Linked DNA regions of Diceros bicornis minor. The protein of the gene in region 3 purifies or fractionates together with the protein of the main gene of each other region. This does not show direct contact. Links are inferred from orthologs where the notes say so. Each region holds a gene or a part of one and is shown on either strand. Other genes may lie near its edges. The genes, in order: ASAP1, FLNA, CTTN and ACTR2.

Region 1 (7,148 bases), on a different chromosome or scaffold from region 3:
GGTCGTGATTGCAATCCCTTGTGTGTTTCCTTGATAACAAGAATCACAATCTTGCATTTGTTGGAAGTTACCTGCTTCCTTGTTTTTGTCTAGCTCCCCCACTGGAATGCAGGCTCCATGAGGGCAGGCCAGGCCTATCTTGTCCATCACTGTATCATTCACACAGTGCTTAGCAAGGAGCAGGGGTTCGAAGTAGGCTGGCTGAATTGACTAATTAGAAGAGAACGTGTGAGGTTGACACTGAAAGATGAGGCTGGAAATAAAAGGCCTTGAACCCAGGGTCCTGTTCATCTTTGTAGGACTGGCACCTCCCACAGGGGAGCCACTTAGCACATGTGTACTGGATACATAAAAGAATGATTCAACTCCAGGTGAATCTGAAAAGCTCTGTCCTTTCTGGGCAGGGCTCCCAGAAAAGTTCCCTCTCCTCTTTGGGACTTCTTAGGAAGTATCATGTCTAGGGCATACAGCAAGTGCTCAATAAATGCTAGCTGTCATTGTCACTATTGCTTATGCGGGGATCAGTCATGCATCCCATAGAAAAGACTTCTTCTCGAGTCCATGCCAGATATAGCGGCTGGGACAGAAGTGAGAGGAAGAAACACAGGATGGAAAAATGAGAATGAGGCAGCAAGATACAGTCAAACACAACTGAGAACCTGGAGGGAAAATGGAGGAACAACACTGTTCCAGGTTCCCCTCTAGACTTCAGCCAGCTGGGTGCAGCATGGAGAAGCCAGCTGGGTGGTGGGTCCTCCCGAGGGGCGAGGGAGGATCCCATTTGAATGCACACATTCATTTTTGGGCCTGCAAGTCTCTGAATGATTTTGAAAATCTGGCTCACTGTGGCTGGTGAGGACTGGGTAGGTGGAGAGAATTTCAGTTTCCTTCACCAAATGGCAAGCTTGCGAAAAAGTCTTTCCTCTCCAACATTATCACATACTAAAAATGAAAAACCAGCTATCAGAATAAGGAGGAAAATAGATGGGATACTTAGCTCACCAGATACAGGAGGTCTGAAAATTAAGTCTAAGAAACCTCATACCATATATTATGTGCTAAGATATTGCCCTTTTTTGGACTTGGAAGTTTCTATTTTTCACAAAAGAATGGGATAGAGAAAAGTAATTCCCTATATAATAAGCTACCCATTTTATATTTCAAATCCATTTGGTGGCTGAATCTCCAAATCCATTTAGTGGCTGAACAGTAGGGGTTAGGGAATTTTTTTTTTAAACTCTATATCTCAAAATAGGCAGTTTAAGATAACTGCATATCTCAAAAACAACAGCAAGAATAGATAAAACAGAACAAGAGAAGCACAGAAGACACTAAAACAATAAAGGTTATAATGCAAAGAAGACACTTTCCAAACCTTTCATGGCCCACAGACCATAAACTGACACAGTGAAAGGAGCACTGGACTGGGGAGTCTGAAGACTGGCCACAGGACCTTGAGTAAGTCATGTCACATCCCCCAGCCTCATCTGTGTAACAAGAAGGGGCAGAAACAGTGGTTCCCAAAGATCCTTTTTCCTTCTAAACTGTTGAGATTTGATGCTTCCAGAAGACCTGCATCTTCTTGCAATACAGTGGACCTCCAACTGAAAAACGGAAAGGGCTTGGAGAGAAGGTTGCAACAGACATAAAACTGGCCTCAACACCGAATTATGTTTTACAATCCCAAAACATTACTCAGCAATCCATGCTCCCAGAATCAATTACGCCAGACAACCTGACCGAGTCTACGGGAAAAAGTGGGAGAAAGTTCTAGTTCTTTCCGATTAGCGCAGGTAAAGCCGAGATCACGCTGGCAATGGTCTGAAGTTGGCTATCCGTCCCCCTGCGCTAGTGGAAAAACAAATTACTCAAGGAAACCGCTTTAGGAATGCCCGAGAAGAACTCTCGGGATGTATGAAACCGCAGAATACCAGACGCCAGCGAGTTTTTTTTTTTTTTCTTTTAAACTTCATGTCGCTCTCAGAAAATGCAGCAGGTCCCCAAATGGTACAAGCGGAAAAACACACGCCACTTCCCAGTCTTGCCGTGGACAAACACTAAGCCCCGAGTGGGAATCTTTTTTTCCCCTCCCGGTGGCCTGGGGCCTGCCTGGCAGCGCCGCGTCCCAGCCGGGGCCGGGGGCCGGGGGCCGGGCCGGCTCTTCCAGGAACGGCGGGGAACTTGCCGCCGCCGCGCCAGAGAGACAATGCCGCGGCCAGCGCCCGCGCCTCCGCGCCGGGAGGGCGCCCCATCGGCGGGGCCGCGGCCACCAGGCGCGCTGTCCCGGCCCCTCTCCCGGGGAGCCACGCGGGGCCCCACCCGCGCCACCTCGGCGCCTCGGCAAAGCAGACCCCCCGGGAGGCTTCGCCTGGCCCTGCGGAGCCAGGGGCCGGCGCCCTCTCCGCGCACAGGGACCCCCACCGGGGATGGTGCCCGGTGCCCGGAGCCCGTCCGGCGCCCTCCCCGCGCACAGGGACCCCCACCGGGAATGGGGCCGGGAGCCCGCCCGGGGCCCTCCCCGCGCAGAGGCACCCCCGCCGGAGATGGAGCCGGGAGCCCGCCCGGGGCCCTCCCCGCGCACAGGGACCCCCGCCGGGAACGGGGCCCGGAGCCCGCCCGGCGCCCTCCCCGCGCACAGGGACCCCCGCCGGGGATGGGGCCGGGAGCCCGCCCGGCGCCTCCCCGCGCGGGGGCCGGGCAGGGGGCGCCGACTACCCAGGGCGACCCCGCCGAGCCCGTCCGGGCGCCCCGCAACTCACCGGGACCGGGCGGGCCGCTGGGCATTATTCCATCGCGGGCTGGGCGCCGGCTCCCCGGGCCCCTCGGCCGGGCGATCGCGGCTCTCGGCAGGGAGCGGGCGGCCGGAGCAGCGGGCGGCGGGAGGCGCGGGCCGGGGCTGCCCGAGCGCAGAGGGCCCCCCGCGGCGGCGGCGGCGGCGGCGAGGCGCGGGAGGCGAGCGCGGCGCAGGAAGGGGCGGGCGACCATGTGCCGAGGGGAGGAGGCCGCGGCGACGCGAGCGGCTCGGACGATCCCGCGCGGCGGCGGAGGGCGCGGGTTTCAGGAAATCCAAACACTTCGACAGGAAATCGGGATCCTGACTAAGCATTCCCGGCCCGCGGCCGCTGCGCGCCGGGGGGCTCCCGCCTCGCTTAACCCTTGGCCCGCCGGCGCCCGGGCGGGGCGCGCGGGGTCTCCGGCACCGGGCGGGGGGCACACGGACTCCGGCGGGGCTCGGGCGGCCCCCACCGTGGGCCCCACACTCCCCCGGCCTGCCTCCTCCTTGTCCAGAGGTGGAAGGGTAGGATTTGTCCAGATAAATCCTTGGCCTTGGGCGGTGCCTGTCTAAGGCCCCCGACAGCAGGGAAGGGCCTTGGCCTGTCTCCCATCCTGCAGAGGATGGACTTACAATCTCCTGGCCGTTTCCCCTATTTTCAATAAAAGAAATGACTTTACCTGGCTGCCCCCTTTCACTGCTTCCGCTCGGCTAATTTCCTCATTTTTCCCAGTGCTAGGGGTCAGGAAATTTCTAGGTCAGGATGCTATAGTAATAGTATGGAAAGTGATAGTATGGACGTTGGACTCTGATCTAGGTTAGAATCTGGACTTGGCCTTTTTTGTAGCTGTGTTACCTTAAGTAAGTCACTTAACTTCTCTGAGCCTCTGAGGCGGTATACTGCCCTCGTAGGTTTTATTTGGAAACCAAATGTTTAGACAGAGACTGACACATTGTAGTGCTCAAATAAATGATAGCCATGATTGTCCTTATTATCATAGGAGACATTAGAGAAAGGAGAGTTTTAACCCGTGGGGTGTGTGCTGTGCATAGTATTGTGTCTACTTACAACGCCTTAGAACTTCATTTCCCTTCTAATCACCGAGTGATTATTTTTCTTTGCAGCATTTCGGAAACTGCTTTCTGCAGAGGAAAAGGTTAGTGGCTATGGCAGACCCCCTTCTGGTGAAATCTGAAACTCAACAAACCTCACGGAATTTGGGATTTTGTTCTTAACCGAAGAGTCAGGACACTGTGGGGCTTTGTGAAAAAGTTTGGAGAGGCTTTACAAAGTTTGAAAAAACCAAACTAAATCTCTGTCCAGTCCAGCCTGGACTAGGCGGCCAGCGGGAGTAATTCATTGTGGTTTCCCATGGAAATGCCGCACTGGGGTTTTCTACCTGGAGGATGTAGCTTGGTGGCTTTCTGTAAGTGTTTCAAATTCCTTTGAAACCCAATCAGACTTTGAAGCGGGAACAGCATGCCCGTGAGTGGAAACCGAAGCTTGAAATGAACCTGCTAGGAACTGAAAGTTGGGTATCAGCTCCTCTCCTCTAAGTAAGAACCAGATATCATTTTTAGACCCAGGTTTGCCTCTTTTCTGCAACTCTTTTTCAGCGGTCAGAAGCAGTGGGACAAGCTCCAGGCTTGGCACCCGGAGTCCAGGGTCCTGCCCCAGGCCCTTTGCAGCTGCTGTTCCCTCTGTCTGGAATAATCTCCACTTGGCTGCTCTTGGCACTCAGCTCACAGCTCAGAAGTCAGCTTCTCAAAGGGGACTTTCCCCAACCATTGATCTATTTGTCCTTGGCACCTATACTCCCACCCCCACCTCTCCCGCATGTCACATTCCGTTTCATTGCTTCATAGCCCACGTCACTTACCTTGTTTATTTGGTTGCTTATTTATCATCTGTCTCCCCCTGCATGGGTCACCTGCTGCTTGTCCCCATCCCTCCCGTGTCCCAGTGCCAAGAACAGCACTGGCCCCGAGGAGACCTTCAATAAAGATACATCAAATGGAGGAAAGGAGCAACCCAGACTGCAATTGCAGGTTCACTCTGTGCCTGTGTCCCCTGTCTCTTCCGCTTTGGCGGAGAGGCGGTCCAATGGGAAAGCCCAGTGTAACGGAAGAAGCGCCAGACGCCCTATTAATGGTTCTGGAAAGTTAAAGCTATAAGTAATTAAGACTGTCAGACGACGTAACTGCAGTCTCATTGGTACAGTCCCAGTTAACTGCTCCCTCCTTTGGGCTCCCCCAGCTCTTCTGTTCATTAAAGAACGTATTTATCACATTGTATGCTCGCTCGATGAGTGCTCGCCTAAGTCAGATGGCACACTCTGAGTTGGAGGGAAAGAAAAGGAGCCTGCGGTATGGACCGCTTACTCTGGGCGGGGCCCTGAGCGAGGTGAATTCGAATTCATTAAAAGGTACTGGTTACGTGCCTATAATGTGCTCAAAAATCTTCTAAGCACCAGATCTGCAAAGATGAACAGTTCTTGCTCTCCAAGAAAGTCCAGCAAGAAAGTTCTGTTTAGAAAACAGACAGATGATTACTCTTAGAGAAGTATGTCCAGGGTGTCATGGGCTCCATAGAGCTTGGGTGAGGGTTTCTCAATCAGCATGAGGGGTGTCTTAGTTCAGGCTGTTATAACAGCATACCATTGATGGGGTGACTTATAAGCAACGCAAATTTGCATCTCACAGTTCTGGAGGCTGGGAAGTCCAAGATAGGTGCAAACAGATGTGGTGTCTGGTGAGAGCTCACTTCCTAGTTCACAGACAGCTGTCTTCTTGCTGTGTCCTCACATGGGGAAAGGGGCAAGGGTGAGGGAGCTCTCCGGGGTATCTTTTATAAGGGCACTAACCCCAATCATGAGGGCTCTACCCTCATGACCTGATCACCTCCCAAAGGCCCCACCTCCTAACTCCATCACATTGGGGGTTAGGATCTCAACCTCTGAATCTGAGGGGGACACAAACATTCAATCTATAGCAGGAGATTAGAAACTACTTCCAAGAAGTGAGTGCTCTGGAACTAAGTTTCAAGGAAGAGGTGGGGCTTATCCAGGTAGATGAGGAGGTCCACACCTGCCAGCCAGAGCAAAAGCTCTGTGTCCCCTGGGCCCACCTCTGAGCTCACCTGCAGCTGTAATTTAACGCCATCCATCCAAGGCACTGTCTACCTGAAGTGCACACCTCTCCCCCTCTCTGCCTGGAGCCTTTCTGCAGGGCTGTGGGGTCTTGCCCAGACTGGAAGTGTCCAACAGCCCTGGAGCACTCCCTAACCAATCAGTGGACAAGTGTCAAGCCTCCCATCCCTAAGGGGCAACAGTCCTACCGTGCTTTCAACACATTTCCTCAGAGGTGCCCAGAGGAAGGGAGTCCGGTCGCCCCCAGCAGTAACTCTCATTAACTCCCTCTTTATGCTTTTCCTCGCTTCCCTGTCTCACTTCATCACTCCGTCATTTGTTCTTCCTGGGATCAATCCCCTCTCAGACAAACTAGCTGCACCCAATTCCTTGTCTCAAGATTTGTTTCTGGGGAAACTCAATCCAGGACAGCATTCATTCATTTATTCACAGGTACTGACAGGGCACTCCCTATGTGTCTGAGCAAAGACTGAGCATGAGCACATAACATATTTGGGTACAAGGTTCCAGATGATCTGAGGAAATGGTACGTGTTCAGACATGGAAAGCAATAAGACTAAAAAGCTTTGCACTATTTTACAGTTGAGAAAACTGAGGCAGGAGTGTTGAGTAACTTGCCCAAGGCCAAACACTTAGTGTATAGAGGAGTTTTGGAGTCCAGGTCTTAACCACCACCCCATACTGCCTTTCCTGGTGGTTAAAGCTTTAGGTGCAGGCTGCAGATGAATTCACCCTTGAGGGGTGTGTAGGGTGGGCAGATACTGGGATCAAGATTGAATCTAGAGGGACGCTGTAACGGCAGAGGAGAGCTGCCCACAAAGAAGGCTGAGAGAGCATGGTCAGAGGAGGGAAGTGGAAGGAAAACCAGAGGTCAAGGGAAGAAGTTGCTTCTAGAAGGAAGGAATGGCCAACACTCTCAAATGCCCTAGAAAATTCAGTCAAATAAGGATTGGAAAGCCAGTGCCCATTTTACTTGACAGTAGACAATAGAAGGCTGATAACTTTTGCTAGAGCTTCTCAATGGACAGGAGGGATTGGAAGCCAGGTTGCAGTGGGCTGAGGAGTGAGTAGGAGACAGTGAGTGTAGACAACCCTTTTCAGAACCATGACAGTCTAGGTAGTGGGCGCTAAGAGTAGAGGATTCTTTAGAGATGGTGGGCTAGTGAGCCTCTGTGGTTGATGGGAAGGTCCCAGTAGAGTGGGAGAGGTGGAAGAGGAAGGGGGTC
Region 2 (7,530 bases), on a different chromosome or scaffold from region 3:
AGGCAGCCATGAGGCAGAGGAAGCGGAGGCGTTGGGCAAGGACCCTTTGGGTGGAGGGTGTGAGCCCCACCCCCCACTTCCTTAGTGCTCTCCCACGCCCCGCAGAGCCAAGCTGGGAGTCCAGCAGCAGGCCTGGCACAATGGAGGGGCCGGGAGCCCAAAGGAACCAGTAGTTGAGCTGCATGGCCCTGACTCACTGGGGACCAGCAGGGATGGCCTGCCAGCCAGGATGACAGGCAGGACACATTTCAGGGGGCTCTCTCACCCAGCCTGAGGAAGAGGAGTGCAGAGCCAGTGAGCCTGGGTTGGATGCCCAGGCCCCAGCTTGGGAACTAGGGTGGCAGAGGCCATGGGTGGGGTCCCCGAGTCCTGCTGCCTCAGCAGAGCCTGCCCAGCCACTGCCCGCCCTCCTCACCACCTAACGGGCCACTGGGCCTCACTCAGGCAGGCAGCCACCAAGCTCACCACAGGGGAAGTGGTTAGGGCGGACACTCTGCACCCTGTTACCATGGCAACCCCTCCGGCTCTGGGCCCCGCCCAAGGCCCTTCTGGGTTTCAGCCTCCTCAAGAGATGGGGGGCTGGAGGTGAGGCTCTGAGAACGGGTGGGCTTGTCTTTGGAATCCCTGCTAGTGTCCGTGGCCCCCCCCACCATAATCAAGAGAAAACACTTGTCTAGTGAGTCAACTTGGGGTTGAGAAGAGAATGGATGCCACCAAAAGAGCCATCAATGGCAGGTGGCCTCCGAATCTAACAGGCAGCATGTTGAGAACCAGCTGAGCCACTCAAAGCAGCGTGGACTCCCTGTTCCCAGGCTGGGGTTGGTCCCAGTTCTGCATCTCTGCCTTGCAGAAGTCCCCATATGGCGGGCTGGAGGATAAAGATGCGGCTTCAGGGTAGGGGTGACTGGATGGTTCAGAGAAGACCAAGGGCACAGGACCATCCTCGGCTTCCCAACAGGCCCCCACCCCCAGAGTCCTGGGTCCAGCATAAGAGCCCTCAGGAGGCCTGAGGCCCGCCTGCTGCTGTGACCCCTGAGGGAACACACTAGATCAAGCTCATCAGCCCTGGTGGGTCTGTCTGGGCCCTCCCCCTGGTCCATAGGAGGCCAGCCTAGGCCCTCCCCATCCCTCTCACAAAAAAGGGAGGGAAGGACCGGGGCCCAGGGTTGGGAGACTGCCTAGTTGGATGGCCCCGCCCCATCCCACCCCCTTTCCCCAGCCCCTGGGCCAGCCTGCCCCCTCCCTCCCCTAATCACTGCTGCTTTCCAACATTTTTTTGCCTTATATGGCAAAGCTCTGGGAACTAGGCCTGCTCCAGCCAGCTCACAAGAGGAGGAGAAGAAGGGAGGAGGGAGGAGAAGACCCCCCCCCAGACAGCTGGGGTGTGGCCTGCCTCCCCACATCCGGTTGCCCCCCCACCCAAGGCTCAGAGATGACTCAGCTTGGCTAGACTGAAGCTGGAACTGGGGGGTGGGCCTCAGCCTCGAATGGCATTCCAAAGAAAGACGTGGGTCCCTTGAGACCTGCCCTCTGAGTCGTTGGGGGCACCTGATTTTTGGTCCCTCACTTTCTCAGGCTCAGCATGGACCGTGCCAGGGCCATATGGACAACTGGAAGGCTTCTTTCAATTCTGAAGAAAACTCATGCCCCTTCTTCTCTCCCTGTTGCACATTCCCCCGAAGGCACCAGTTCTGGTGCCTGTGCCTGAGGGGCCCTCATCTTGAGAAGAGCCTGGGATGCTACAGTAGGCCCGGCCAATGAAGCCTCACCAACCCAGTGAGCCCAGCGCACGCTGGAGTACCTCCCAACCAATTCCTGCATTCTAGATGCACAAAAGTGGGAGCAAGAGTCTGGTCTAAGATCAGCAGTAACTTGGTGTCTAAGCATGCTACAAGCTGACACCCAGACTCATCTCTGGTGCCGTTTTGCTAGCTATGGTCCCCTCCGGTCCCCTAAGCTCCCTGGGGAAAATCTAAACTGGGGGTTGGAGCCATCTCCAGTGGGGGGCCCATCTTCCAGGGCCAGAAAAAGCCAAGAGTCCTAGACAATGGGACCCACGATCTCCAACCGGTTTAGGAACCACAGGGGCGCCAGAAGGCCCTCTCCAAATTGCTGTAGGGGGTGGAGAGCCCAGGCCTCCCCCTCCTCAGGGATGGGGCGCTGGGCGCAGGGCCAGAGCCTGGCCAGTGCCCGTCCGTCCCCCACCACGGCCCCTCCCCCGTAAGCCCCCGCCCCAGGCCCTCTCCCACCGCAGGCTCAGCGGCGGGGGCGTGGTCTGCGGAGGATGTGAGCTCAGCCTGGGCGTGGGCCAGCCGGGGTGGGGCGGGTGGGGGCGCGTAGCGGTTCGCACTGCCGGGCCGGCCTGCCTGCGCGCCTTTGTTCTCGAGGCCCGCGCGAAGCCAGGTGGCCCGCGGGCCCCTGGGACAGTGCTGTGGCTTAGGGGGGTGGCTGGGAGGGGTCGGCCAAGGGAAGATGGGAGGACACGCGGAGCCCCCACCCTCGCCCTCCCAGCGCCACAGGGCGGCCCGTGCCCTCACCGATGGACACAAGCTTGATGCTCTCACGATCCAGGAATTCAAGCGCCACCGACACGTTTTCGAGCTGCATCTGGCGGAACGTGGGCCTCTGGTTGTGCTTGCGGTGCATCTTCTTCTGGCTGAGCACCTCGAGCAGCGCGATGAGCCGCAGCCCGTCGCTCAGGTCCGTCTGCAGGTTGGCGATGCGTTTGCTCACGCACTTGAGGTGCTCATTGCACCAGCGCGTGAACGTGTTCTGCTGGATCTTCTTCCAAGGCGCGTCCTCCGCCAGGTCCTTCTCTGTGGCCGGCATCTCGGCGTCTCGCGTGTCAGCGCCACTGCTCGGAGCCGCGCCTGCTGCGCTCTGGCCCGCCCGGGAGTGGGAGCTACTCATTTTGAGGCGCGAGGAGCCGAGGGGCGGTGCTGCAGCCTAGGCAAGGGGACGGCCCTTTAATTAAAGTCGCAGGCACTTCAGCGCGCACGGGGCGATGCAGACAGCGGAGGTTGTGCTGTGGAGAGAGTGAGCCCTTTAAATGCGGGCGTGGGGCGGAGCTAGGGGTGTGGCTGCAGTGAGGCGGGGCCGCAGGGTTGGGCTTCGGGGGCCGCACCCGCCCCACCCCGCCCGTTGGAATGCCCCTCTTAGCCCCCTGCGCCCCAGCTGTTTTCACCCGATCCCCACCCCCAGCTCTGGGGAGGGTCGTTTGGACCGGAAGGGGGCAAGGACACACCCAAACCCCACGGTCTCACACTAGCACTGCAGGAAACACTGCAGCGAGGAAGGGCTGCCAGAGCGAGGCAAGGCTGAGCAGTGTCTGGCGCTGGACCACTTGGCTTCCAGCGGGCACGCCATACAAGAGACTTTCCCTCCCCAAGGCCCCTGCAGGGGGTGGGGTGGCTCACCCTCCCTGAGTCACGTGGGCTTCGCCCCGTCCCAGCAGCCCCCGCCACTCCCCTGCCACTCCGCCCTCACCCCCGGCCCGTTCCCAGGCTCCAGCGCCTGGGGTTTCCCGGCCGCGCCCCGGGAGCAGCGGGAAAGGGCCAGATTCTAAGAGCGAGTCCTTGGACAGCGCGGTCCCGGGCCAGGCGCCCCTGCGAGCGCTTTGCGCGCGTGCGCCACGCCAGGGAGGCGGCTGCCGGCGGGGCCCGGACCCTAAGCCGCCCCCCAAACCTCCTGCCGCAGGCCGGCCGGTGGCTCTGCACGGCCCTGGCCTGCGCACCTGCGCCCGCGGGTCCCCATCGCCTCCCTCCGTCCCTCCACGCTCCACCGGGAGGAAATGGGGCAGTGGCCCAGGAGGCCGCCAAGCACTCCAGGAGCAAACAGCCTTGGAAGGGGCCGGACGTGCCAATAGGCACTGGCACGGGGCGCCGTGTGATGCGTGCAGAGACAGCGAGTGTCCGCCTGACCCACCATGACGTCGACCTGGGGCACTGGGGGTTTCCTCTCCTGTCAGAATGGCCCCTGAGCCCAGTGTGACCCAGGAGGCGGCCAGGCAGGGTCAGGAGGGCCCTTCCAGACCCACAGGGACCTGCTCGGGGGTTCCAACAAGCTTTCGCAGTCTCTCAGCACCTGGGTCTGGGTGGGCTTCAGGGTCGTGGTAGTGCACAGGGGACCCTGAGGACTGAGGGGGGGACCATGGAAGGCTGCCAAGGCCTGCTGAGGAGCCTGGACTGTGTTCCTAGGGCAATGGGGAGCTATTTGCTCAAAATTAATTTTCTGGTAGATAACTCGGGAGACAGAGGCCAGCAAAAGCACAGGGGCACAAGGCCTATTGGGGACACTCACTGCCACCCTCTTCAGTCAAAAGAAGTCATCCTACCCATGGCTTCATCCCCAGAGTGGACTCACTCCTCCCAGTCCTGTATACCTCTCCTCTCCAGAATGTTCACTTCTTTACATTTTTTTTCCAGAAAGGCATGTCTCTGTCCCTTCTGCTTGATTCTTAGATTGAGCTGCAGACTAGTAGTCATTAAGTTATCTGCTAAAGACCAGTGGGAAAGGAGGCCCTGGGGCAGCAGTATGTCATGCCCAAAGATGGCTGACTTGCCTAGCCCTGGGTGACTGCATGACCCGTGGTAGGGCTGTGGAGCCAGGCAGCATCTGCTCTGCCCTCCAGCATGCTCACTTCGGGGCTGCCTGTCATCCCACTGGTTTTTCCTTACCAATGGTGGGTAAGGGGGGGTCCAAAGTCATTTCCCAGTCTGAGGCCCACCTCCTGCGCACTCTCCCCTCTCCTGACCCCTTTCAGACACACCTGTAGAAAACTCCACACCACAGGGGCTGGGAATTGGGGTGGAGGTAGGAGGGAGGGCTGCAGGCCCCATTCAAGATGGGCTGAGAGTTGTCCTTCTGGCCCCTGCCCCACTGGAAAGCAATTCCCAAGGACAGAATTACACCTAGAATTGATTTTCTCTCCACTAAGTGCCATCCAACTGGGTCATCTGTGTTCATTCCTTAATATCTTCAGAGAGCAGGGAAACTGAGTCAGAGTAACTGACCAGTAGTTAACTCTAGCAGACTGGAGGACAGAAGCTGGGTGTTCTGGCTTCCAGCCCTAGGCTTTCCCTATTTGGGGGATGACAAAGGCTGGGGGTGTAGAGGGTTCCTGTCCCTAGGGGATATAGTATCACCACCAGATGGCGCCCCATCCCAAAGCCCCCAGATCAGCAGTCCTTGGAAGCCAAAATCCAGCTCTTTCATATTTTCCCTTATTTGGAGTAGATTCTTGGATGTTAGACACACCCCGCCCCCACCCCCCACCCCCAGCCCTAAAACACCAGGCCAGGTCCTCCCACGGCGGGGCGTGGGGTGGGGGCTTCAGCTGGCGAGGAAATCTACAGAATGGCACAGTGAGAAGAGACCTGGACTGGCAAGGCAAGTCCAGGTACAGCAGGTGAGAGCACTCACTGCCTGAGCTCCCACCTTGACCGGGCAGCCTGGAGCACATGCAGGTGGGCCTGCCAGCGGACTTCACCTACTTTTCCTGGACCTGGGGGGCATGGGAATCTAGGACGTTGCTGCTCACATCCTGGCTAGTGGGGAACATCCAGCTCAGCGCCAACCTGGTACAGGGCCCACGGCCCAGGGCCCAGCCCGAGAATCTGGCCTGTCCGAGGAGCCCCTGCTTCCTGTGCCTGGCTGCACCCTTGCCCTGGTCCCCATGGAGCACAGCAGCCCCAGAACCAACTCCCCTGTGCCTAAGGCAGCTGGTGCCATGAAGACTGGTGCAAGTGAGGAACCCACTGTCACCCTCCCAGGGGGCACACTGGCTGCGAAGTGTTCTTCCAGGTGGCCACTCATCCTCAGCCCACACAATGTCTTGCCCTCTGGGCCCTTCTTTCCCAGTCTTGCAGTGACCAGCTCCTGGGCACCCACGCGAGCCCATATCCTGCCAAACGCTCAGATATCCTCTCTCAGGAACCCCCATGGCCTTGGGCTCCCACACTCCTGGGCACAGACACAGATTCGCGGGTAAACTAGGAAAGGCAGCCCCTGGGCACTGCACTCACAGGGGCCGCGGGCGCCTCCACTGCGCTTACCACCCCAGCTGCACCTGGCCTGGGCCTGGGTGCGCGCCGGCGCCTGCGTTCTCGGGGCCTCTCCGCCTGCCTTCGCCACCCCCGTCCCCGGTCCCCGAGCAGCGCGGAGACAGTCCCGCGCGGAGCCCGGCCGCGGAGGCCTCACCTGCTGTCTCTGCGGGCGGCCGGCGACCGCGCGGTGGCGCCTGGCTTGCCTTTGCGCCCGCGCCCGCGCCCGGCGCCTCGGGGCTCCGCTGGCGTCCGCTGCGCGCCGCGCGCCTCCACGCGAATGGGCTGCCGCCGCCCGCCTTCTTGTTGGCCGCACCCCCGCCCCGCGCCCGCCCCGCGCACGGCCCGGCCCGGCCCGGCCCGGCGAGAAAGCCTTAATTGGTAAAATCGCCCAGGAGCCGGGGGGCGGGGGCGCGCCGTGAGCTCCAGCGCCCGGACCGCCTGGCGACGCCGCCCCCCCCTCACCCCCGGATGACCTCACCTCCCAGCGAGGGCCGCGAGGGGTGGGGTGGGGTCGCCTCAAGAGCTCGCGGGGTCTGCAGGGCCCACGTCTCAGCCCAGCCAGAAAAGCCACCTCCTCCAGGGAGCCGCCCACAGTCACGGCCTTCTGACTTTGCCCCAAACTTGGGCTGGCCAGGCAAGTTGGATTCTGCCCTCTGGGGTTGGGGCACAACAGGCCATTGCAGGTGTTCACTGAGTGCCTACCACCCACAAGACCACAGTGGGGCAGGGACCCGGACCCCGGGATGAGCAAGTATCCCCGCTGCTGCTGATTTGGTCCCTGCTGGGTGCCAAGCCTGGCCTGGGAGCGGGCAGCAGAGACGTACTGAACTCTCAGGAGCACAATTAGGTGCAGTCCCAAAGTCTGGGAGCGTGCAGTGGGTTGCAGCCAAAGAGCCAAGTGTTCGTGAACTGGGTGGGCACAGCCACGCCCTGGCACTGCCAGGCTCCCTCTTCCTCTTCTATGTGCCCATTTCCTGGTAGCTTCAGATGTAGCTCAATTGTCACTTCCTTGGGGAAGGCCACATAAAGCAGTGTCACTTTAACATTTTGCCCACAAGCCCCAATAAGAACTACATTTGACATCCTGAGCCCAGCTGTGCAAGCACACATACACAGATTGACAGAAATAACTGAGACAAACGATCCAGAAAAGGAGACTTTCTCTCACTACCCAAAAAGCACTTGGTATTTTCTATTCTACTCTACTTCATTAGAAGAGAGAAAGAAAAGAAGGGAGGGAGGCAGGAAGAAATTTGGTTACACCTGCTAAATGCATTTGGCCATCTACAGTTGAACACTGACAGGAAGGCGCTGATTGCCCTCCAGGCCTCCCTGCAGCCACTGCTGCCTTTGTTAGCTCTGCTTGCAATGACCTTTCCACCTTGACTCACAGTGGGATCTCCTAGCAGTGCCAGGGGCTCCATGTCCCTCCCTGCTCCCTCTGGTGGGAACCCCCCCCCACTGCTGGGGTGAGCAGTGGGTTATG
Region 3 (7,056 bases):
CACAGTGGAATATTATTCAGCAATAAAAAGGAGTGAGGTCCTGACACACGCTACAACATGGATGACTCTTGAAAACATCATGCTCAGTGAAAGAAGCCAGACACAAAAGACCGTATATTATACAGTCTCATTTATAGGAAATGTCCACAACTGGCAAATCTAGAGACAAAAGTAGATCAGAAGGGGCCAGCCCGGTGGCGTAGCGGTTAAGTGCAAGCGCTCCACTTTGGCAGCCCAGGGTTCGCAGGTTCGGATCCCAGGCGCGCACTGATGCACCGCTTGTCAAGCCATGCTGCGGCGGCATCCCATGTAAAATAGAGGAAGATGAGCACAGATGTTAGCTCAGGGCCAATCTTCCTCACACACACACACAAAAAAAAGATCAGTGGCTGCCTAGTGTTGGGGGGAGGGGGTAACAGTGTTTCTTATGAGATGATGAAATTAATCTAAAACTGATTGTGGTGAAGGTTGCTCACTAAATGGTTGGAAATTCTAAAATCTAGGGAATTGTATCCTTTAAATGGGTGAACTGTATGGTACGTGAATCATATCTCAATAAAGTTGTTACCAAAAGATACTGTTCAAAAAAAAGATAAGGTAGGGCTGGCCCCGTGGCTTGGCGGTTGGGTGCGCGAGCTCTGCTGCTGGCAGCCCGGGTTCGGATCCCGGGTACGCACCAACGCACCACTTCTCCAGCCATGCTGAGGCCGCATCCTACATACAGCAACTAGAAGGATGTGCAGCTATGACATAGAACTATCTACTGGGGCTTTGGGGGAAAAAAAAAAAAGAGGAGGATTGGCAATAGATGTTAGCTCAGAGCCGGTCTTCCTCAGCAAAAAGAGGAGGATTGGCATGGATGTTAGCTCAGGGCTGATCTTCCTCACAAAAAAAAAAAAAGATAACGCCTCTATCCAGCACCACTAATAGTAAACCTTCGTTGCAAATGTCACACGTACCAATCAACTCACAAGTGTGAGGTCATCTTGCACTGCCGTAAAAACAGAGTGAAAAACTCCTCCATAGGAGAGTGTTTGAAATGATAAAACCCCCCATGCAGAACTAGCTTTCCATTCCCCTCTCTCTGCAGTGGAGCAGAAAACCAGGGAGAACACAAAGCCATCTGAGGCCCACTCCCTACACCACGATTACTCAGAGGAAACCCCGCCCACCCCTGTCTGGGCACACTCACTCAGTTTACTAAAAGCACTTGCTTGCACACTGACAAAAGGGAAGGACCAGAGCTCTGATAGGACCCTGAGCCAGCTCCCGGCTGCCCCAGGACACTGGCAGACTGCATGAGGCAGTACCCGGCACTCACAATGACTCACTCACTCAACCATGCCCCTTCTGAGCACCTACTGCACAGCACCGACCAAAGGTCTGAATCACCAATTACGTTCACTTAAAAGTGTTTTAAGAATAAGTCCAACAAAATGCTTCCACTACAAGTCATCTAGGGGGTGGGGGTAACTTCCAGTTACTGGTGAACAGAGTATCAAAAAGGACTCTGCACCCCCTTGGCTCCTTCTTCTAGAGTGTCTCAAAGTCGCCTTTAGGATGCTTCTTCGCTCCTTGAGGATCTGGGAGCACTTTTCCAACCAGGGAAGAGAGAGACAGGATGGCCTCCATGCAGTGGGGCAGGGACTCCTCCCCCCGCGGCCAGACACAGGGAGCAGGGCCCACCGCCAGCGCCCTTCCCAGCCCTCGGCCAGCCGGGGGCCAGGCTGAAATCACGCGATCAGGACCTGGGGGATTAACCGGACACAGCACCGTGGGGCCAGTCGACCCTGAGCTCAGGCGAGCATCACGGGGAGGGAGCGCTCACTGGGGCCGCCGCCAGAGCTGCGTTCAGCGGAAGATGGACTCCTCCCCAACAGGCCCGACACGTCCACACAGCGGCGGAGGAAGCCCTGCACTCTCCCCACCCGAGACCTCCAGCGGGGATCAAGCTCCCGCTGCAATATTCAGGCGATCCAAATCAAAGAAACAGAGAACCCAGAAGCACCTTTCTGGTGATTTCCAAAACACCGAGAGGAGGGGCTGCTCCAAATAGAGAGCCTCTCAGCCGCCTGCAGCTGCGCGTGTCGCTGCATTTCCATTGACCCGATTGCAAAACCTGCCGGGAGGTGCGGGCCAGGTGCGGGCGCAGGAGCCGGGCTACAAGGCCCCGCCCGGGCGCCAGGGACAGCCCCTCTCCTACCTCGACCCCTCGTACTCCTAGACTCTCCCCCTCGGCCCTGCACCCTCTTCCCCTAAACCCCCGATGCCGACCCCCTCCCCGCAGGGCCCCTCTCCTACCTCAACCCCAGCGCACCCCCAACCCCTCCCCCTCGGCCCTGCATCCCCCTCCCCTAAGGCCCTGGGCCCCGACCTCCTTCCCCTAGATCCCTGACCTCCTCCCCCCAAGGCACCTGGCCCCCCTCTGATCCTCGGCCCTCCACCTCCTTCCCCTAACCCCCCGATCCCGACCCCCTCCCCGCAGGGCCCCTCTCCTACTTCGCCCCCATCCGACCCTCGGCCCTCCGCCGTCTTCCCCTAGTCCCCTGGGTCCCGGGCAGCCCCCTGAGACTCCAGACCCTCTCCCCGTCTGCTCCCCTCCTCTCCCTCCTGCCCGCAGCCCCGGCCCCTCCCGCTGGAACCCCTGACCCCTCAGACCTGCCCCCTCCTCCCCGCCCCCCGCAGGCCCCAGCCCCGCCGCCTCAGCCCCGGCCCGCACCTCCCGGCCCCCCTAACCTCGGCCCCCGGCCCTCCCCCCCCGGCCCTCCCCGCGGCCCCCGCCCCCCCCGCCCGGGGAACCCTCCCCCGCGCCCGCCCCGAAACCGCGAGCGGAAGAGCGGCTAGACCGCCGCGGCCGCCGCTTCCTTCCCGTTTCGGGGCCCGGGGGCGCCCCGGGAGCGAGCGGGGGGGCCGGCCCTGCCCGCCCGGCGGAAGCCGCGCTCGCTCACCGCCGCCTGGGTCGGTCCGGGCCGCCTCAGCTCTGCCCCACCGCGCCCGCCGCTTCCAGGCGCCCGGCTCCACTTCCGGTTCCGCGGGCGGGGGCGGGGCCGCATCCGGGTCCCGCCGAGGCCCCGCCCCCCCCCGGCACGCCCCGCCCCGCCCCGTCAGCGGCCGCGGGAGCTCCGGGAGAGCGCGCGGTGGGAGCGGCGTCGAGCCCGGGCTGCCTGAATCCCCGCCCCCTGCCGCCTCCCTCGCCCACGTGCACGGGCAGCGCCCACTGCCCACCGCCAGCGCAGGCGCGAGCTCTGCCGGGGAGCGAGCCTGCAAAGCCCGCCTAGACAGAACGCATTCGCATATACATACACAGATGGACGGAGCGCCCACCGTGTGCGGGCGACAGTGTGCCGAGATGCAGACGATCCGAGGTGGTACTCCAGGATTCATAGCGCGGCCCGGGGTGAGAAAGGAAAGTGAGCCAGGCCTGTGGCCAGTGCCAGGCGCTTGAGCCATGAGGACTAGGAGAGGTGACTGTGACGGCCAGTCAACTGGACGGACGAGCGTCTTCATCATCCACCCGTCCATCCCTCCATCTATCACCCACACGTCTATCCATCCTTCCATTCTCCGTCCATCCATCCGTCATCCATCACCCACACATCTATCCATCCATCCATCATCATCCATCCATCATCCATCACCCACACATCCATAAATCCATCCACCATCCATCTTCTCCACCCAGCCTCCATTCATCCATCCATCCATCCACCCACCCATCATCTATTCATTCATCCAGCAACCATCCATCCTTCCATCATACATACATACATACATCACCCACACATCTATCCATCCATCCATTCTCCATCCACCCATCACCTATCCCTCTATCCATCACCCACGCATACGTACATCCATCCATCATCCATTCATCCACCCAAACATCCATCCATCCATCCATTCATCATCCATCCATCCTTCCATCCAGAGAATGCCAGATATGCATCAGAGATAGAAGGTCATGGGGGGCAGCGCAGTGGCGTAGTGGTTAAATTCACACGCTCTGCTTCATCAGCCCAGGGTTCGCAAGTTCAGATCCTGGGTGCAGAGCTACCCACCACTCATCAAGCCATGCTGTGGTGGCATCCCACATACAGAATAGAGGAAGATTGGCACATATGTTAGCTCAGCAACAATCTTCCTCAAGCAAAAAGAGGAAGATTGGCAACAGATGTTAACTCAGGGCCAATCTTCCTTACCAAAAAAAAGGAAAAAGAAAGAAAGAAAGAAAGAAAGTCAGCAGAATAAACATGGACATTGCCTTCAGGGACCTTGCAGCCTAGAAGGAGAATCAGGCATTAATCACAGAGATATATAATTAGGAAACAAGATAAATGCTATGAAGAAGTCAAAGGTGTCATGAAATTAGATTGAGGAAAAGGTGGGACCTGAACTCATCCAGGAGATCAAAAAAGGTTTCTTTGAGCAATTAACATTTGTGCCAAGATATGAAGGCCAAATACAAGTAAACAAGATAAGGAGGGAAGAATTTTCCAGGTGAGAAAACAGCACGTGCAAAGACCCTGAGATGGGAAAGGTCTCGCCACAGAGGAACTAAGGGATGTTCAGTGTAGCAGAAGTGTGGTGATGAAGCAGGGCAGTGTGGTGGCGTGGGGCCAGGTCATGTAGAGCTTGGCAGGGCACAGCGGGGACCTTGGTCTTTATTCTAAAAGAAATGGGAAGTCCTTGGAGGAAGTTAAGTGGAGGAGAGACATCATGAAGTCTGAATTGTAATGAAATCCCTCTAACTCCTGTGGAGAATGGATGGGAAGAGGGCCAGGGAGGACCTTAGTCCAGCCAATTCAGGCAAACTGGTGGTAGCAGGTAAGATGGAGAGAAGCGAGTAGATACAAGAGACATTTAGAAAGTTAAACTGTCAGGTTTGAGGATGGATTGGGGGTGTGGGGTGGGGAAGGAAATGTCAGGTGTCAAAGGATAATATTTTTAAAAAAGAAAAAATCATGATTTTCATACACGCATAAATGAACACATGTCAAAGATTTTATTTCACTTAATAATGAATGAAGCAATAAGGTGTTACAACTTATTAAGAGGAGAAGTCAAAGAAATGCTGAAACGAATTTGCAAAAACTGGTCTATGCATAGGGCAATAGTCAATTGTGTGTCACTGGACACAGCTAATTTGTGTCTCTATGGACAAGAATTATTAGCATTGCTCTCTGTTTTCTACAAGTTTACTTCTACGTCCGCAGCGGTATGAAATAGTCTAGGCAAAAACAAAGGCACACGTCCCATAGAATGAGATGATTCTCAGAGGCTCCAGCGTTCTGTTGAAAGAATATCCAGTAATCAGTTTCGTCCATTCTAAAGTCTGAAATTTTTCATTACAAAAAGATGACTCCGAGCATCTAAGTAGATGCTGAGATGTGGAAAATGGGCAGAGGTCGGGGAGAGACGCACCAAGATGGAGGGAGGAGAAGAAGAATACGGTTTTGGACTTGGAACATTTAGGGGCCTGTGGCACATCAAGGTGAGGTCCGAGAAGTGATGCTGGAGAGGTGGCTTTTGAGCTGGGGCTTTCAGAGTAAGCAGGATGAAGACATAAAAGGTAGGAAGGTGTCCCAGGAAGAGGGAGAAATTCGAGCAAGGGCACAGAGGGAGGAGAGGAGGGGAACATCGAGGTCGGACACATGGAAGTGTTTTCACGTCTGTCATTACTGCACACAGTGCAGCGCAGTGTGCAGTCAAGTATCAAGCTGGTTGCTGGCTGGACTCAGGGAAGGCTCCCTTTGGTGGCATCTTCCATAGAGGACTTGATTCATCTGAGGACAGGAACAAACGTTGTGCACAGAGGCTCTGGAGGCTGAGGACCTGACTACATATCCCAGCTCCACCATCTACCAGCTGTGTGGCAGTGGACAGTCACTCTGCCTTTCCCAGCCTCGGTCTCCCCATCTGTCAGCTAGCACCTGCACCCCAGAGCTGTAACATGAGGACTGCATGCTGTTTGATGAGCCCAGGGCCTGGCACGCAGGAAGTGCCCAATAAGTGTTGGCCCTTAGTTGGCGGTAACAGGAAGAGAAAGCCCGTGAGGCAGGCAGGCCGGGTAAGGTATGTGCATTTCAGTTAAGCAGAGATGCGGGAGATCAGAGAGGCTGGGTGCCCTACCTCGCCCACACAGCAAGTGGGCGAGACCCCAGTCCTGACCCACACCTGTGGTCTGGGGGAAATGATTCAGAGCATCCTCTTTCACTGGGAAAACTGCAGGTACCTCAGTTGTGCCCCACGTTTCCCCACCTTTCCTTCTCTGACCGCCAGTCCAACTTGCAGAGGCGGGCTCACCCTAGGCTCCAGGGAGCATCCCACGATCCAGGCCTCAGCCAATCAGCACACTGCACTCCTCTAACGCTGATTGGCTCCAGAGAAGGCACGTGGTTCAACCAGGTCCAGTGAGACTTTGCTGAGGCTTCTGGGTGACCCGGAAGTTCCATTCTTTCCGGGAAGTGAGGCCCAGATGAGGGCAGGAGGGAGGCTCAGCCAAGGGCATCGTCTTCCTTGGTGAGGGGAGAGCCCTCAGGAGCAGAGGAGCCGGGACCAGGCGGTGCCTGCTGATCCCCAAGACCAGGTCCTCCTTACCCCCTTCGCTTCTACGAGCCGGCACGTTCCCTGGCCGCCCCTTGCCATGGTCCTAACCAGGAGTCCTAACGGAATACAAAGGGGCCAGTGCGAGAGGCCAGGACGATGAGAGGGGACATCTCTGGGAGGCGCAGGTGACCCAGTTCCTGCACCCGACATACCTGTAGGGCTGTGTGCATTTCCAGTGGCCGCTGTACCAAACTACCATGGTCTAGGATTCAGAACAACCGAAATTTATTCTCTCACAGTCTGGGGGCCAGAAGTCTGAAATCAAGGAGTCGGTAGACCTGCGTCTCTTCTGGACCCTCTGGGGGAGAAAGGTTTCCTGTCTCTTCCAGCTTCTGATGGCTGCCAGCAGTCCTTGGCTTGCGGCTGCATCATCCAGTCGCTGCCTCTGGCTGCACATGGCCTTCTCTTCTCCTCTGTGTGTCTGTCCCAAACTCCCACTGCCTCTCTCTC
Region 4 (7,330 bases), on a different chromosome or scaffold from region 3:
CACCAGGGGCCTGGGCTCAACTCTTGAAAAGCACCTAAACCTAAGGAGACCTTCAGATTTTCATCTATCTGGCCACTTTCAGTGGCTATTTTACGGAGTAGGTTTGAACAATTACGAAGATGAAGCACATAAATTACTGGAATAGGATGACTTTCCCTCCTGTAGGCTGCTCTAACGAGACACTGCTCTAGTTGGGGGCTAGTGAGAAGAGAAGCAGGATCAACATCTGGCATGTGATCATAAGATCTCACCTACTCTTAGAGCATTCGACTTAGGGCCTGCCAGAGGAGTTTAAAAAATCATCAACTTCTCAAACTGCCTGTAATTTTAAGACCTAAAATGTGTAAGAGACAAGTTGCTTTAGGGCAACAACTAATCCCACAAGTTTTTAGAAATTAAATTTGAATATCTTCTTTAATATTTCATTGTAAAGGAATCACTATACCTTCAGGTAACTAAATAAAATCAGGATGACTATGAAGTATAAGCAGTAAGAAATAGAATATAGACTCTAAATGGTTCCTAATCCTCTAAATTTTCAGAAATATCACAGCATCCTGATTACGTATTATATCAGAGCTCTTTCTTCATTTGAAGTCGATCGTGTCTATAGAAAATCTGGATAAAATTTAAAGACAACTAGAAATGTAACACCAAATACATTTTTGTTTGAATTAACTACATTTTTTCTATTTATGTCATAGTAACTGATCCCTTGTCTTAAGGAACAAGATTCTTAAATTATGGATTAGACATGAGACTAACCAATAATACACAATCAGCTTTCAACACAGCTAAAATAATAAAATAGTAACATAAAAATGAGCTCATGGTTAACAGTCCTATTCTAAGTGAATATTGAAAAGCTCATTATACTACAAATACAGGGTTCATTACCATTCAAAAAAGAAGAATCCAATAAAATATAGCTGGCTCAGATTTCTAAAGAGAATACCTGACAAAACAAAATATTAGCAAAATAAAATATTTTAAATTCAATTTTTAAAGCTTTAAATTTATTTAGAAGTCAATTTGGAACTTAAATTCTTTAAAAAGCACCTTTAACTGAGTTTTAACTGTAAAAGTAATACACATTTATAGTTTCTTTAGTTTAAAGATAGCTTAATACATGTTTTGCTAAAAAACAAAACAAAGAACATTTTTCCAATAATTCGGAAGTCATGAAGTCCTTCCTATCTTCCCTCACTTCCTATTCCTAGTCTCACAGGTAACCATATGAACATTCCTTACGCATCCCTCCAAAACTTTCATATACAGATACAAGTTTGCATACATATAAATATCTTTTAATACAGAAAACACACATAAATAGGCTCATTCTAAAATTTTTTTTAAGTTAAGACATGTTTCCATAGCAGTGAATCTGCCTTTTTTAAGTATTCTATTTTGTATGGATGTCCCATTATAACACTCTTCTTACTCTTGTTCATTTTTAACTTAGTTCAGAAAGCTAGTATAATTATTGCTTGTAAAAATCTCTAATAAATTCAATCAAGGGAAGTATTATGGTAGTGAATATTAGCTTTTTTTTCCCCCTCAACAATCCAGTTTCCGAAGTGTTTTAAAGTTCAAGTAAAATCTATTTTAATTCATATGTCACATTTATGGAAGGCAGGGGAGAAAAGTCACACAATATGCAACTCCAAAACGGTTCGACATTACTGTAATGAAGGGGAAATGATCACTACAGAACTCATCCAAAATAAATAACATTTCCGTCTTTTAATCTGCTGACTTTGCTGCCCAAAATACATTTTTTTTTTTTTTGTGAGGAGATCAGCCCTGAGCTAACATCCGCCAATCCTCCTCCTTTTTTTTTTTTTTTTTTTTTGCTGAGGAAGACGGCCCTGGGCTAACATCGGTGCCCATCTTCCTCCACTTTATATGGGACGCCGCCACAGCATGGCCCACCAAGCAGTGCGTCGGTGCGCGCCCGTGATCCGAACCAGCGAACCCCGGGCCGCCGCAGCGGAGCGCGCGCACTTAACCGCTTGCGCCACCGGGCCGGCCCCTCAAAATACATTTTTTAAAGGGGGTGGGCGTTTGAGATAACTTTCAAATAATTTCTAAAAAAGTGTTTTACTCAGATTTTTACAATTATTTGCATTTTAGAATCTTAGTGCACCTAAGGAAAAAAAGGAAGGGGGGAGACCAAAACTGATTACCTTCCCCCAAGGTCAGTGGAATTAACCCTTCGGCCTTGCGGGGTCCTAGATCTCCCAAGATCATTCAATGGAACATGCTGGTCTCTGCGGGGCTGCCCCTGGGCCAAATTCCCAGCGCGCAGAACAAAAAGTAAATGATGTGCTGCTATCTAGCCTCCCCTTCTCTCAAAAAAAAAAAAACCACACACAACATAACCCTCTAACACTGCGAAAGGGCTGAGGCTCATTGCATGACAGCACTTCCCTTTTTTTCTTTAAACTCGTTTCCTGCCTCTCGTTCGCTACCTTCAACTATACAGGAAGAAGAAGGCCTCTAGGTCTTTCTCCGTTTCACACACCAGCGACCGTGGGGAACAGAGCCCTTCTCGAACACACAAACCCAGCCTTTTACCCCTCCGGCCCTTTAGCCAAATTGTCCCCGCTGGAGCGCGGAGCCGACCCTGCCGGGCAGCAGGTGACATGCCCACCCAGCGCCGGCCTCGCCCGCCGCCCTGACCCAGAAGGCGGCCGGGGTGGGAGGCTCCGGGAGACCTGAGCCGGACCGGGCCCGCCAACTCCCCACGCCCGTGGGGGCAGGCAGCGCTGGCCCGCGCCCCTTCATCCCGCCGGCCCGAGGGCCCAGGGGTGCAGCCCCGGACGCCGAGGGCCCGCGCGCCCCCCGCACATCCCCGCCGGGCCTGTGGCCGCCGCGGCTCCCCGCCGGGCGCTTACCCCAGTGCCGTTGTCGCACACCACCACCTTCCTGCCCTGGCTGTCCATCGTCCGCCCGGAAGAGAGCCGCCACCACCGCCGAACAACCTACAGCCGCCGCCGCCGCCCGGCCCTTTCCTCTTCCTCTTCCTCCGCGCTCGCGGCCCCTCCCTCGTCCCAACTTTCTCCCCCCAACCGGAAGTCTCCTCCGCCCCCCCCCCCGCCATTTGACTGACGGCCTATGCGGAAGATGTGGGGACAGGTGGGAGGAGGCCGAGACTGGCAGCGGTGAGCTCCTATAAGAAACGGAGAAGCGCCAAGGCCCCGCCCACAGCTCCATTCCGGCTCCAGCCCCACAGTCACCGACGCCGCCCACCCGGGATTCTTCCTCTCAGCGTTTTGTTCCCCGGGCTTCGCCGGGCGTTGATGGCAGTCAACCTGGAGGGTGTTGCGACTTTCTCCCTCAGGCGTGTCTGGAATTGAGGGCGCCTCTCATCCTGCTGCAGAAGGCGCAGGCAGGTGAAGGACACCGGGTCTGTGGCGAGATGGCAATGGAATGTGGCGGAAAAGCCAGCCGTGTGGGGAAGCAAACCTGGAGGTGCTTGCCCATCCCACGGTTGAACATGGCTTGGTGTGCTCTTGCTTTCTAGGCCTTTTCAGTGGACAGAGCCTTAATGGATACACCCACACACACATATTTGAAATCATGCATTTATACCGATACCTCCAATTCCAGCCCAACTCTTCTTTGCCCAAATTGTCTTTAGTCAAGTGAATGAGAGTGGGTGCCTACATTTCCAGCCTTATAACTCACCACTTTCCTCTTCCAGCAGCACCGTGTGGCTTCACACCTCTTAAGTATATGTACCCATTTGAACCTAGAGCCTCGGCTTTGAAATAGACAACCCCAGTTTCAAATCTGGCCCTGCTACTCAAGAGTTTTGTTGATTTGGGCATATCCTTGTCTGTGCATGGGTGTAATAACCTCTACTTCCGTGGGTGGTTGTGAGGATAAAATTCTGTGCATAGAGTAAGCATCCATTCACTGGTAGCTATTTATTATTAATTCCATATTTTTAAATGTGCAGTTCCATCTGTGATGCCCCTACCTTTTTTCTTTTTAATCAATTGGGAGACTTCGACTGGTGCTCTAAGACCCAGTTGTCACTCTCTGAAGACTTTGCTGATAACCCTCAAGATGCTCTTTACTCTCTTCCTTTGTTATTACTTTACAATGGATATATGAATAACATTATTGTGCTTGTTAAACTCAACAAATATTTATGGATGAATGACATTAAAATTCATCTAGAAAAAAATGCCATCCTTTTCGAGAGGTGAGAACTAGAATTGTGCCTTCCACATGGCTGTACATGTACAATGACTAGAATAAAACTTGGATTATGAACCCCCCATTCAGTATTATAATACTAGGCTGCCTCTCCGTTTTCACTTAGTTCTTGTATTAGACCAGTGGTTTTCAAACCTTTATAAAGGCATAGAATGCTTTATTCAAATTTAATCTTATATGGAACCCCAACATATAAAATAGATCAAAGTAAAGCTGCCATAGTGGTAGTTGGAAGTTTGAGAGGTTAGGATGGGAAGGAAGCCTCAGGGAACTATGTCTTCCCCAACCCTGCTTCAATAGTCGTCGAGGTTCTTCAGAAGCCTGCTGAACTGTGTATTAGTTCATAAATTATATATCTTATTTTTGTGACCCCAGTGCCTAGCACTGTGCAGTTTTCCTGGAAGCACATTTAATTGGTCTCAGCAAATTGAACGCAAGCATTTCTATGTCCTTTTACTTTTCCTCTTTATGAAATTAAATGGATTACTGATTTTTACTTTTTTTTTTTTTTTTTGTGAGGAAGATCAGCCCTGAGCTAACATCCATGCTAATCCTCCTCTTTTTGCTGAGGAAGACCGGCCCTGAGCTAACATCTATTGCCAATCCTCCTCCTTTTTTTCCCCCTTTTTCCCACCAAAGCCCCAATAGATAGTTGTATGTCATAGTCGCACATCCTTCTAGTTGCTGTACGTGGGACGCCGCCTCAGCATGGCCGGACAAGCAGTGCGTTGGTGCGCGCCCAGGATCCGAACCCGGGCCACCAGCAGTGGAGCAGGCTCACCTAACCACTAAGCCACGGGGCCGGACCCTGATTTTTACTTTTTAAGAATAACATTTGTTGTTTTCTTCTGATTGTAAAAACAATACATGCAGATGATAGAAAATAGCAAACATCTATTCACTACACAAATGAAAATGTAGCAAAACTCCTTGATTATGCAAATTCAGATATAATACTATTGGTGAATGGTTCCTGCCATTTACACCAGGTGAATCCTGGCATTTTACTTTCCTCAAAATACTGTGCCCACCCCCCCACCCCACCCCCGATTTTACGTAATTGAATTTTTCAGGAGGGGGGCTTCATTTCTAGCCTTCAGTTGAGAGTTTACGTACGTTATTCCACACAAAAATCTTGCCAGATAGATATCCCCATTTTACACATGAGAAATGGGGGATTTAACAAAAATTAAGTCTAGCAAAGTCATAGGATATAAGATCTACATACAGATATCAGTGTATTTATATATGCTATCAGTGAACAATCTCAAAATGAAATTAGGAAAACAATTCCATTCACAAGAGCATCATAAAAATCTGAATAAATTTAATGAAAGTAATGTAAGACCTATACACTGAAAACTATAAAACATTGTTGAGAGAAACCAAAGATCTAGATAAATAAACATACCATATTCAAGGATTGAACACTTACTGTTAAGATGATAGTTCTCTCCAAATTTATCTATACATTCAATGTAGTCTCTATCAAAACTCCAGCAGGCTTTCTTCTTTTTAGAAATTGACAAGTTTGATCCTAAAATGTATATGGAAATGCAAAGGAACCAGAATAGCCAAACAATTTTGAAAAAGAAAAGCAAAGGTGGTGGGCTTCTATTATCTGATTTCAAAACATATTATAAAGCTACAGTAATGAAGACAGTGTGGCATTGGCATAAGGATAGACATATAGATCAACGGAACAGAATAGATAGACCAGAAATAAACCCTTACATTTATGGTCAATTGATTTTCAACAAATATGCTAAAACAATTCAATAGGGAAAGGGTAATGTTTTTAACAAATAGTGCTGGGACAATTAAATATCCATGCATGGTGGGAGAGAAGAACTTTGATCCTTACCTCGCACCATACATAAAAATTAATTCAAATGGATCATAGACCTAAATATAAAAGAGCTAAAACTTTATAAATTCTGGAAGAAAACAGGAGAAAAACCTTTTGATGTTATGGTAAGCAAAGATTGCTTAGTTATGACACCAAAATCATGATCCATAAAAAAAAAAATCAATAAATTGGACTTAATAGAAATTTAAAACTTTTTTTTTTTTTTTTTTTGTGAGGAGATCAGCCCTGAGCTAACATCCGCCAATCCTCCTCTTTTTTTGCTGAGGAAGACGGCCCTGGGCTAACATCTGTGCCTATCTTCCTCCACTTTATATGGGACGCCGCCACAGCATGGCTTACCAAGCAGTGCGTCGGTGCGCACCCGGGATCCGAACCAGCGAACCCCGGGCCGCCGCAGCGGAGCGCGCGCACTTAACCGCTTGCGCCACCGGGCCGGCCCCTTAAAACTTTTAATTTAGGTATTAAGAAAACAAAAAGACAAGCACAGACTAGGAGAAAATATTTGCAAATCATATATCCAACAAAGGACTTGTATCCAGAATAAGAACACATAATAATAATGAGACAAATTACCTAATTTAAAAGTGGGCAAAGGGCCAGCCCCGTGGCTTAGCAGTTAAGTGCGCACACTCCGCTACCGGTGGCCCTGGGTTCGGATCCCGGGCGCACACCAAGCACCGCTTGTCCGGCCATGCTGAGGCCGTGTCCCACATACAGCAACTAGAAGGATGTACAACTATGACATACAACTATCTACTGGGGCTTTGGGGGAAAAAAAAAAAGGAGGAGGATTGGCAATAGATGTTAGCTCAGAGCTGGTCTTCCTCAGCAAAAAGAGGAGGATTAGCACGGATGTTAGCTCAGGGCTGATCTTCCTCACAAAAAAATAAAAAATAAATAAATAAAACTGTTTGGAAAAAAAAACTTTAAAAAATAAATAAATAAAAATAAAAGTGGGCAAAATATTTGAATAGACAAACCAAAGTAGGTTTTTTTTTTTCATAAGAAGATTAGCCCCGAGCTAACATCGGATGCCAACCCTCCTCCTTTTGCTGAAGAAGATTAGCCCTGGGCTAATATCCATGCCCATCTTCCTCTACTTTATATGAGATGCCATCACAGCATGGCTTGACAAGTGGTGCATTGGTCAGCGCCCAGGATCCAAACCTGTGAAGCCCGGGCCACCGAAGCGGAGCGCACAAACTTAACTGCTATGCCACTGGGCCGGCCCTC

The links.
Region 1: the proteins of CTTN (region 3) and ASAP1 purify together in Homo sapiens (affinity purification with western blotting; 6 studies listed by BioGRID and IntAct, with this or other methods). This does not show direct contact. The link is inferred for Diceros bicornis minor from reciprocal best matches to the Homo sapiens genes CTTN and ASAP1.
Region 2: the proteins of CTTN (region 3) and FLNA purify together in Homo sapiens (affinity purification with mass spectrometry; 3 studies listed by BioGRID and IntAct, with this or other methods). This does not show direct contact. The link is inferred for Diceros bicornis minor from reciprocal best matches to the Homo sapiens genes CTTN and FLNA.
Region 4: the proteins of CTTN (region 3) and ACTR2 purify together in Homo sapiens (affinity purification with mass spectrometry; 3 studies listed by BioGRID and IntAct, with this or other methods). This does not show direct contact. The link is inferred for Diceros bicornis minor from reciprocal best matches to the Homo sapiens genes CTTN and ACTR2.

Annotation. Positions count from the first base shown.
Region 1 is NC_080760.1:44,858,879-44,866,026, forward strand, and holds the start of ASAP1 (arf-GAP with SH3 domain, ANK repeat and PH domain-containing protein 1), read right to left. Parts: upstream 3,012-7,148; 5' UTR 2,760-3,011; intron 1-2,759. UniProt on the Homo sapiens protein: Possesses phosphatidylinositol 4,5-bisphosphate-dependent GTPase-activating protein activity for ARF1 (ADP ribosylation factor 1) and ARF5 and a lesser activity towards ARF6.
Region 2 is NC_080781.1:138,288,986-138,296,515, reverse strand, and holds the start of FLNA (filamin-A), read right to left. Parts: upstream 3,005-7,530; 5' UTR 2,911-3,004; coding exon 2,538-2,910; intron 1-2,537. UniProt on the Homo sapiens protein: Promotes orthogonal branching of actin filaments and links actin filaments to membrane glycoproteins. Anchors various transmembrane proteins to the actin cytoskeleton and serves as a scaffold for a wide range of cytoplasmic signaling proteins.
Region 3 is NC_080770.1:3,893,395-3,900,450, forward strand, and holds the start of CTTN (src substrate cortactin), read right to left. Parts: upstream 3,019-7,056; 5' UTR 2,949-3,018; intron 1-2,948.
Region 4 is NC_080751.1:22,559,983-22,567,312, forward strand, and holds the start of ACTR2 (actin-related protein 2), read right to left. Parts: upstream 3,022-7,330; 5' UTR 2,946-3,021; coding exon 2,898-2,945; intron 1-2,897. UniProt on the Homo sapiens protein: ATP-binding component of the Arp2/3 complex, a multiprotein complex that mediates actin polymerization upon stimulation by nucleation-promoting factor (NPF).